2 linked regions of the Oryctolagus cuniculus genome follow. The protein of the gene in region 1 purifies or fractionates together with the protein of each later gene. This does not show direct contact. Links are inferred from orthologs where the notes say so. Each region holds a gene or a part of one and is shown on either strand. Other genes may lie near its edges.

The links.
Region 2: the proteins of E3 SUMO-protein ligase RanBP2 (region 1) and BICD2 purify together in Homo sapiens (affinity purification with western blotting; 3 studies listed by BioGRID and IntAct, with this or other methods). This does not show direct contact. The link is inferred for Oryctolagus cuniculus from reciprocal best matches to the Homo sapiens genes RANBP2 and BICD2.

The regions. Positions count from the first base shown.
Region 1 is NC_091433.1:100,112,419-100,117,447, forward strand, and holds the start of E3 SUMO-protein ligase RanBP2, read right to left. Parts: upstream 3,284-5,029; 5' UTR 3,146-3,283; coding exon 3,074-3,145; intron 2,482-3,073; exon of another isoform or gene 2,371-2,481; intron 1-2,370. UniProt on the Homo sapiens protein: E3 SUMO-protein ligase which facilitates SUMO1 and SUMO2 conjugation by UBE2I. Involved in transport factor (Ran-GTP, karyopherin)-mediated protein import via the F-G repeat-containing domain which acts as a docking site for substrates.
Region 2 is NC_091432.1:146,065,638-146,070,509, reverse strand, and holds the start of BICD2 (protein bicaudal D homolog 2), read right to left. Parts: upstream 3,279-4,872; 5' UTR 3,217-3,278; intron 3,209-3,216; exon of another isoform or gene 3,153-3,208; 5' UTR 3,112-3,152; coding exon 2,872-3,111; intron 1-2,871. UniProt on the Homo sapiens protein: Acts as an adapter protein linking the dynein motor complex to various cargos and converts dynein from a non-processive to a highly processive motor in the presence of dynactin.

The DNA of each region.
Region 1 (5,029 bases):
GAAGAAGCAGAAACATGGTACAGCTACAAGCACATGAACAAATGAAAACTCAGTGAAGACTAGGAACATATGAGATTCTACACGTATCAAGAAACCCCAGAGCTCCACATCCTAGGAAGTACAGTCAGTTCACGAATGGCCAGACTCTGCCAAAATGAGAGATTAAGCACTAACCTCTCTCCATTCTTTTATTTTCAAAAAATGCTAAACATTTATTTATTTATTTATTTGAAAGGCAGAGTTACAGGGAGAGTGAGACAGAGATCTTCCATCCACTGGTTCACTGCCCAGATGGCCACAACAGCCCAGCCTGGGCAGGCCAAGACAGGAGCCCACAACTGCATCCAGGTCTCCCAAGCGGATGCAGGGGCCAGGCACTTGGGCCAGCTTCCGCTGCTTTCCAGGTGCATTAGCAGGGAGCTGCATGGGAAGCAGAGCGGCCGAACTTGAACCAGCACCGGGATACTGGATGCTGAAATCGCAGGAAATGCAACCTGCTGCACCACAATGCCAGTGCCTCTCTCCCCACTCTTCACAGCTGCTGCTGCCCCCTCCACCAGCAAGCCCCTTCCAAATTATCCAACTCACCCTATTTTGACATTGCATTCAGATCTAACTTTAGAAAATACCTTCATGGGCTGACACTGCGGCACAGGAGGCTAACCCTCTGCCTGCAGTGCCAGCATCCCATATGGGTGCCAGCTCATGTCCTGGCTGCCCCCTTCCGAAAATGTCTTTAAAAAAATACAGAAAATATCTTCACACATTGTAAAGTTACATACTAGCTACTTCATATTTTGCTGAAGTTCTCAGGCATCCACTTTAAGAAAAATACCCAATTAAAACAATATTCTTCAAGTTTGAGAGGTGGCCATAACTAATCCTCTTTATCTGACAGAAATTATATAGTAGAAATACTCTACCTTCTGTCTCAAACCGTGTTTTTTTTGTTTGTTTGTTTTTTGTTTTTTAATTTCTTTGAAAGAGTTACACAGAGAGAAAGAGAAGCAGAGAGAGAGGTCTTCCATCTGCTGGTTCACTTCCCAATTGGCTGCAACTACAGGCGGCAGCTTCTTAACATTTGAGAGCCAAGGTCCCCACTAAGAATCTCATGGAGGGGGGCCAAAGCCGCTGCCTGCAGTGCCGGCATCTCATATGGGCACCGGTTCGAGTCCTGGCTGCTCCACTTCTGATCCAGCTCTCGGCTGTGGCCTGGGTAAGCAATGGAAGATGGCCCAAGTCCTTGGGCCCCTGCACCCACATGGGAGACCCTGAAGAAGCTCCTGGCTTCTGGTTCAGATCGGCACAGCTCCAGCCATTGTGGCCAATTGGTGAGTGAACCAGCGGAGGGAGAACCTCTCTCTGCCTCTCCTTCTGTAACTCTTTCAAATAAATAAATAAATCTTAAAAAAAAAATCTTATGGAGATGCTAAACTTGCTTCAAAAAATAAGAACAAAAAAAAAAGTATACCAGTCTTAGGAGTTACAGAAACCTTCAACAAGGTTCTAACACTATTAACACATTCATACTTAAGACTATGCAGGGGCAGGTCTGTGATACAGCAGGTAAAGCCACTGTCTGCAGTGCCAGCATCCCATATGGGCAGCAGCTGGTATAGTCCCACCTGCTCCACTTCCAATCCAGCTCCCTGCTAATGGGCCTGGGAAAGCAGCGGAGGACGGCCCAAGTGCTTGGGACCCTGAACCCACACAGGAGACCCGGAAGAAGCCCCGGCTGCTGGCTCAGAACAGCCCAGCTCTGCCCCTTACAGCCATTTGGGGAACGAAGCAGCGGATTGAAGCTCTCTCTCTTCGAGTCCCCAGCCCCCACCAACTCTGCCTTTCAAATAAATGAATAAATCTTTAAACAAAAACTATGCCAGCGATTTGAAATGGCATCTGCACGTAGGAACCTATGTGTCTTCTCCAGAGAGACAGACTATAGGCCGTTACACTATTCCTAAAAAAGCCAATCAGACCCACTGCCAACACCCTGCTGAGCCATCCACTTGGCCCTGGACAAGTACCTTCCCCGTCTGCAGGACTCAGTATTTAGTTATTGGAGCATAAAGTAAGATAACTAGGCTACGATACAAGGCACGTTATGTTGCACTGTAATCATGATCAACCACTAATATGAGAACTCAAAGTTCGTGGGAAATGCGTGTTATGGAAAAAACCATACAAAAACTTTACAACTTTTCTGCACCCAACACAGACTTCTCGTTTCCCGCACGTCCATGCAGAAGCAGCCGTCTAGACCTTCACTTCCAACATCAACACCACCAGCGCCAGGAGATGCAGCTGACGCCCATGTAGGGCTGACGGCGTGCCAGGCGTCGTTGGAGGTGTTGGGCACCGACCACGCACCTCATCAAGCCCGCTTTACAGATGGGATACTCAACGCGCTCTCCACCTGCGTCTGCCAGGGCAGGGTCGCAACTACTCAACTGCAGGCAGACCAACGAGCCGGCGCGCGCCCACCGGTGGTAACCTGCCCCACTCCCCGCCGCCGCCTCCAAGTAATCCAGGAGGGAGAAACGTGCTCAGAACTGGCTGTCGGGAAAAAGACTTGCAAACTCTGAGCTCAGAGCACCCCGTCTGTAAAGGGGAAGCGGCCGCAAATAAAACAGCAGCTTGCTCGGCGTGCGGGGCTGAGAGGACTGCGCGTGGTCACCCGCGCTCGGGCCGCAGTCCAGGGCGCCTGCCCGGCCGCGGCAGCGTCACAGCGGGGACAGCCCGCCGCGTTCCAACAGCCGCCCTGCCCAGAGGCGGCCGCAGCGGGACGGCAGAGCCCGCCCGAGGCGCCAGCCGGGGGCCCGGGCAGCGCGGGCCGCACGGAACAGGCCTGACGAGGACGAAGGCCCCCCGCCCCGCCCCAGGAAGCAGGCAACGCCGACGTCCCCCGCGCCCCCACGCCCCTCCCCGAGCGCTCCCGAGCGCCGCGCCGCCCACAGGGCAGGGCGAGCCGCCCCGGACCTCCGCCGCACGCGCCAGGGAGCGGTTGGCGCCGGGAGCCATGGCGCCGGCGCCGCCGCTGGGCCAGGGCCCGGCCTCTCCGGACACGACTCACCTCTCGCGGCGACGGGGCGGAGCCCTGCACCGAAGCGATATACCGCTCCACGTCGGCCTTGCTGCGCCTCATCGCGCCGCCGACCGGACTCCCGGCGAGCGGCCGGCAGGCGTTAGGCCCCGCTGCGGTCGCAGGGTCCAGCAGCGAAGCGCTTGAAAACCCGTGACGCAGCGCAGTCGCCGGCGGAGGGGGCGGGGCGGCGTGCGTGCGTGCTGCGTCATCGCTGTGCGCCACGCCATCGAGTGCGGCGCTCCCGCCTAGAACTGCCGGCCGAGGGCTCTACCCGAGCGGGCGCAGCCGGGGTGGCCGAATCTGAGGCCGATTCTCCTGCTTGCGGCGGAGAGCCCGGTGTTCACCGCCGCGAGATAACGTTTTACCTCGTGGGTTCCTAAGAGCGTTCCGTGTTTGGCCTTAGTTAAAATCACGTGATGTTGTGGAAGGAAAAAGATGTCGGGCCATTTTGGTTGAGCCTGTAAATTGGCGCAATCCTGGAGGTGATTGGCTAAAGTACATCGTGTGGGACACATGTGAATACGAAGCACTTATTTTAAAACGTATGCGTTTAAAAAGATAGGCCACAAATACTATTTTTTGGCGGATTGCAACTTACATTTCAGTGGCCGAAGGACAGGACACATCGAATTCTTGATAGTACTAATCCTTTTTTCTTTCTTTCCTTTTTTTTTTTTTTTTTTTTTTTTTTTTGACAGGCAGAGTGGACAGTGAGAGAGACAGAGAGAAAGGTCTTCTTTTGCCGTTGGTTCACCCTCCAATGGCCGCCGTGGCCGGCGCACAGCACTGATCCGAAGCCAGGAGCCAGGTGCTTCTCCTGGTCTCCCATGGGGTGCAGGGCCCAAGGACTTGGGCCATCTTCCACTGCTCTCCCAGGCCACAGCAGAGAGCTGGATCGGAAGTGGAGCTGCCAGAACATGAACCAGTGTCCATATGGGATGCCGGCACTGCAGGCAGCGGCTTTACCGGCTACTCCACAGCACCGACCCTGAGTAATCTTTATCCGTTTTGGATTTTCCGTGTTTTCTATATTGAACAAGCATTACCTTTATGAAGAAGAAGGAAAAACAGATCTTTTTCTTTATTTCAATCTTTGTGGTAAGAAAAGATGATTCTTGGGTTACCAGTGTGACTGCTGTACTTTAACAAATAATATGTAAAGAGCATCTAGCTTGGGATGGAATATCCTATTTTAGGTAGCTGGTTTCTTTCCCTTGAGGTGAAATACATAGAGATGGAGTTGGCCTCGTATGTAGATGAAAGGATAAGACAAAGATCTGTGACAGACTTGGAAGTCAGAACCCTCAGGAAATAAGTGGAACTACAAGTTAGCCTTGGGAAGTATGTTGGTAAAAATAGCCGTAACTAACAAGTAAACACTTGCTGCTGCAGGCTCTTTTCATAGCACTTCACATGCATTAACTCTTTTAATTTTCCCAATGACTTTCCAAGTGTACTGTTATTTGTTATCTTATGTTTTCCAACAGACCAAGAAAATGGGCACTAAAACAGCTTGCCCAAACACACTCACCTAGTGAAAAATACTGATCTTTGTTAAGTTGAACATACTGAGAAGTGGACCAAGGAGAGAACCTTCATGAGGAATTCAAAAAACCTCTTAGGACCAGCGCTTAACCTCGCAGTGAAGAGGTCCATATTGTGGAATACCTGGATTCAATTCCCAGCCCTGGCTCCGGACTCCAGTTTCCCCCAGTAGACCCTAGGAGGCAGCAGTGAGAGCTCAAGTAATTGGGGTCCTGCTACCCCTGTGAGATACCTGGATTGAATTCCTGGTTGCTGGTTTAAGCCTGGCTCAGCCCCCAGACATTACAGGCATTTGGGGAGTGAACCAGCAGATGGGAGTTCTCTCTCCCTCTAGGCAGTTCATATATCTGCATTTATTAGGATAGTCATATGTTTTCTTCATTTTGGCAACAAGTTTGT
Region 2 (4,872 bases), on another chromosome or scaffold:
CCCAGTGGAAGGTGGCCAAGGCCACGCCTCCTCGTGCCACCAGTACTAGATGGTGTAGCTATTGCTTGTCTAGAGCTGGCAGACTGTGCCAGATCCCACAACTGGTGAGACACACAGGTGCCCGGTCCCCAGGCCCTGCAGGAGGAAAAAGAACCATGACTCAAGGTGGGAGTTTCAGACATTTTTAAAAGTGGAAGGACTCTTAAAGGCTCCCTCATGACCCCAACCCCCACTCCGTTGGTGGGAAGGGAAGTGGAGCAGTTAGTGACAAGCGTGAACACAGGGCCATTATCTTTCGATTCCAGTGGCTGCCTCTCTGACTATAGGGCCCTGCAAACAAGCTCAGTTCCGCACTTTGGGGATTTTTTTTAGGGCCCTTACCAGGCTTCTTCACATGTAAGCAGACCTCTGCCCCTACCTGCCCCCTAAAAAGCCCTAGGCCCACCCCAACACCCCTGTCTCCTTGAAGTAAGACATGCCATAGTCACTTAGGACCAGGAAAACCACGCAGCTCAGCTAAGTCCACCTAGTTTGCTTCCCCATCATGCCAAGGAGAGGACTCAGTAGGACCTGGGACAGAAGTAGCCCTCAGTGAGGTTCAAAAGATCAACAACAAAACGAACCAGTGGGCATCCTCCCATATCCCATATGGGCACCAGTTTGGGTCCCGGCTGCTCCAGCTCCCATTCAGCTTCCTACTACTCCTGGGAAGGCAGTGGAGGACGGCCCAAGTGCTTGGGCCCCTGTACCCAAGTGCAAGATCTGGAAGCTCCTGGCTCCTGGCTTCAACCTGGCCCAGCCCTGGCCCTTGCAGTCATTTGGGGAGTGAACCAGAGAATGGAAGATCTCTCTCTCTCTGTCCCTCTTTATAACTCTGCCTTTCAAATAAACAAAATAAATCTTAAAAAAATTAATATTAAAAAATCTTGACGTGTGAAATAAGAGATGATATTTTCAATGACGATACAAAGCTGAACAGGTTAACAAGAGCCTGTACTGGCAGAGGTGAGGACCAGGCACACTGTCCAGGGAGAGGGACTGGGAGCAGCTACTGGATCTGAGGCATGTTCAGCCCTGTTCATCTGAGCAGAAATCTTATCCCACTTCACAAAGCGGAGGGAGCAACTTGTCCAAAGCTAGGCTGCCAGTACACGGAGGAACCAGGAGGTGACTAAACCAGGTGAGCAGATGCCCAAAGAGCTCCTACAGCTGCAGCTGCACCCTCTTCCCTGTGCTAGGACCTCAGCCTCCAGACACATGCTGGGTAACTGAGCCAAGATTCCTCGTGCTGCCAAAATGTTTATGTCCCACCAGCAAGGAGCTGGCAACTGAAAGGCCCCACAGTGGAGCCAAGTTAGGTCAGTGACAGTCCCTTATTACAGCGGACACTGCCGGAGAAACACTGAACACAGAAAGGGATTGTGGGGGCTGCCCAGCGCTGGGAGGGCTAGGGGAAGAGCACTGCCTGCCTGGAGGAGGGGGGATCGCAGCTGGCAGAGTGCGTGAGCCTCACCACAGGGCACTGCCACCCCTTATCACAGCCCCTCCCTGGAAGGGGGCCACATGTCCACCCAGTACCAGTGGGGCCTGGCTGCGAGAGGACACCAGTGCCTGCTGACAGACAGCATCAATGTCCACAGCCCCACCCACGGGCGATGAGGCCTTCACTGATGCCGGGTTCCCTGCTCTGCCCAGCGTGAAGCTAAACACCCTCGTGGATTAACTCACTCTCTCCTCTCTCCCATCATGAACAGGGGATTCTACAGGTCTCCTGAGGGAGGCAACAGAGGCTCCAAAGGGTCCCGGTCCCTATGGAGTGGGGCTGGCGGCGCTGCACCAAGAGCCAAGAGCTTACTGGGACAGAGTCCAGGTAGGAAAGGGAGGCACCTGTCAGAAAGGGACTGGCCACACCAGGCCTTTCCAAATATACCGCTCTTTTATAAGGGGGCAAAGCTGTACCCCCATTTTGCCCAGGAGGAGGCTAAGATTCATGGAGGGTTCCTGCCCACAGCCATCACCAGCATGGGACAGCGCCCGGGTTCAAACCCACCCAGGAAGTAACTTCTCCCTCCAACCTCCAGAGCAGTGCTGGAGAGTCGGGGTGGGGTGGGGGGGTGGGGGGTGCGGCAGAGACAGAAACGAAACATTCTCAGGCTGCAGCAGGATTGCCCGGGACCCTCGCTGCCACGGCACCGCCTCTCGGGCTCTCAGGCAGCGCGAGGGAGGGGAGCTAGCTCCCCCCCTCTGCCCACAGAGAGACGACACAGACACTGAAGTGTCCCTCCAGAAGGGACACAGACGGCACCGCAGGAAAGGCCCAGGAGAAGAGGACGGAAGCGGGCAAGGGAAGTCACGCATTCCAGCCAGCGCGGCGCAACAACAGCGGAGAGGGCCTGAAGACCCCGAACACGCAGCCCGAACCCCGACTCCCAGGACTCACGGGATGCAGCGGCTTCGCCCGGAGAGGGGAAGCGATGCGCCTGATGGTGACAGCAGGGGACACCCAGGCCAGCCACTTCCTAGTGGGTCACCTGCGTCCCTGACCGCAGCATCTGGCCTACCCCCACCCCCCGGACTCGGGCCAGTGACCCAAGCCCAACCCTGCCAGGGAGCCCGGATCCCGAGGCCGCGGCCCGGCCCACTCCCACGCCCCGCCCGAGCCCCGACCCCAGCACCGCAGGCCTGCCCTCCGCACCCCGTGCCGGGCAGGGTGACCTCAGCCGGCCCAGAGCCGGGGAGGACGCCTGCAGGCCCTGGCAGGGGTGAAGGTCCGAGACGGGGTCGCAGGCAGGGTCGCAGACTCAGGCCCGCGCGGCAGGGGTCGCCTGCTCAGACTCGGGTGGGGTGGATGTCGGGGGGGCGGCGACTCACTTCTTTGAGCTGCTCCATCTCGCTGCGGATAGCCTCGTAGTCCACCTCCAGCTCCTCAAACTGCAGCTTTAGCTGGTGCTTCTCCTCCAGTACCGCCAGCCCATACTCGGCCGCCTGGATCTTCTCGCGCGTGGTCTCGGCCAGCTCGTGAGACAGCCGCTTCAGCTCCGCGCGCAGCCACTCGGGCTGCGCCTCCATCACCAGCCGCGCGTACTCCTCCTCCTCCGACGGCGCCGACATGGTGGCCGCGAGCCGGGCCGGCTCCCCCGAGGCCGCCGCAGGCCGGGCCCTCCTCAGCCACCACCGCCGCCGCCGCCGCCGCCGCCGCCGCCGCCGCCGCCGCAGCCGCCCAGCCCCGACGGCCGCCCGCGCCGCCACCGCCCCTCCCCGCGCGGGGAACGCCGGGGACTGCAGTCCGCATCGCCTACATGTCCCGTCGTGCCCAGCGCGCGCCCGACCCCGTTCGTGATTGGTCCGTGCCCCGAGGGGGCGGTCCCTCAGCGCCATTGCCTCCGCCCTGGAGATTGTGAGGACTGCGGTCCCGTCTCGCACCGCCTACCCGGCCCGTCGTGCCTTACGCGCTTTCAGCCCCGGCCGTGATTGGCCCGTGACGCCGCCATCACAGCCGGGTGACAGGGCTGCTTCCGGTGCCCCGGACGGCGCGCACCGAGTCCGGCATCCCAAGATGGGAAAGTGGTGGCGATGTGCTATGGGGGTGCGGGAAGATCGAGAGGTCTCAGGACTTGAACCCAGGCTCTGCTTCGTCTTGCGACTCCTTAGCCCTTCAGGATGTGTTCATGGGAATAAAGATGGGTCCATAAGCGCGGTGTCGTTAATGTGCTAGAGTTGCTGCACCTGCGTCCATTTTAGGCTTGACTTCCTTCAAACTGGGGTGTCCATCGCCTTTGAACTAAATAACCGCCCTTCACTCCGATGTGGTTTGTGTGACATAACCTGCTTGTTCCTCATCCCACAGCTGCTAACCACCACAGAACGAAATGATAGGGACAGAGTCATGACAACAAAGACATCCATCGCTCCTGTTTTCTTTAGACACAAGCCCCGAGGCAAAGCCCGAGATGAAGGCATAATCCCACAGCTCCCGCCTCCCCTGCCTCCCCCATAGACCAGTTGGCCTCCCTTTGGCACCTCTCACCTCCGGCATCTGTGAGGAATGATTTCTGTGTTTCGTATGTTTGGATGTCTCACCTGGCGCACACACAAGCACTTAATTACATTCCCCATGCACCACCACCCTTCTAGTCAGGACATCCCTAGAGAGTGGTTATTTTGGCTTACAGGCTCTGAGAGAGTCCTCAAGACCAGATTAGAAAGGAGAAACCATAACAATACAGAGGTCAAGGGCACACAGGGCACTGGCGCTGTTATTCAGTGCCCGGTCCACATCGGCATTGCACCGGAATCCCAGCACTGTATTGTGTATGTGGCTGGGTTCCAGTTGAATTCAGTCAACAGGTCTCGAGTGTTTTCAGACTAGTGGTGTGCACACAGTTGTACATTTCTGACAGGGACCAGCACTGAAGTGTTGCTGAGTTCCCAGCACAGGGGCAGGCACATGATGTCAATGTCATGCCCTTGGTCATCCCCGGCTTTTCCACTGAAATCCACATGATGGGAGAAAGACATTTTGAGACCCTGCAAATATCCTGTTGAAACCGGAGGCTGACCCCCCTAAAAGTCCCTTCGTGGTCGCCATATGATATCCAAATATGGGGTGCCATATGATATCACCGTGTGCTAATTAATAAATTCCCAATATTAATAAGCCTGTGTGGGTTCTTGCATAATATTCAGAAAAGAATTCTGAATACCGGCATAAATGAACGAGGCAGCATGCTAAGTTTTTAAGCCTTTTATTCAGTGAGGGAAATACATAGGAGAGTGAGGGCCCTGTCTAAAAGAGAGAGGAATCTGGATGCACGCTGAGTACCAGGAGCCAGCCACATGGAGGACCATGTAGGCCAGGAAGCATGGGGCTGG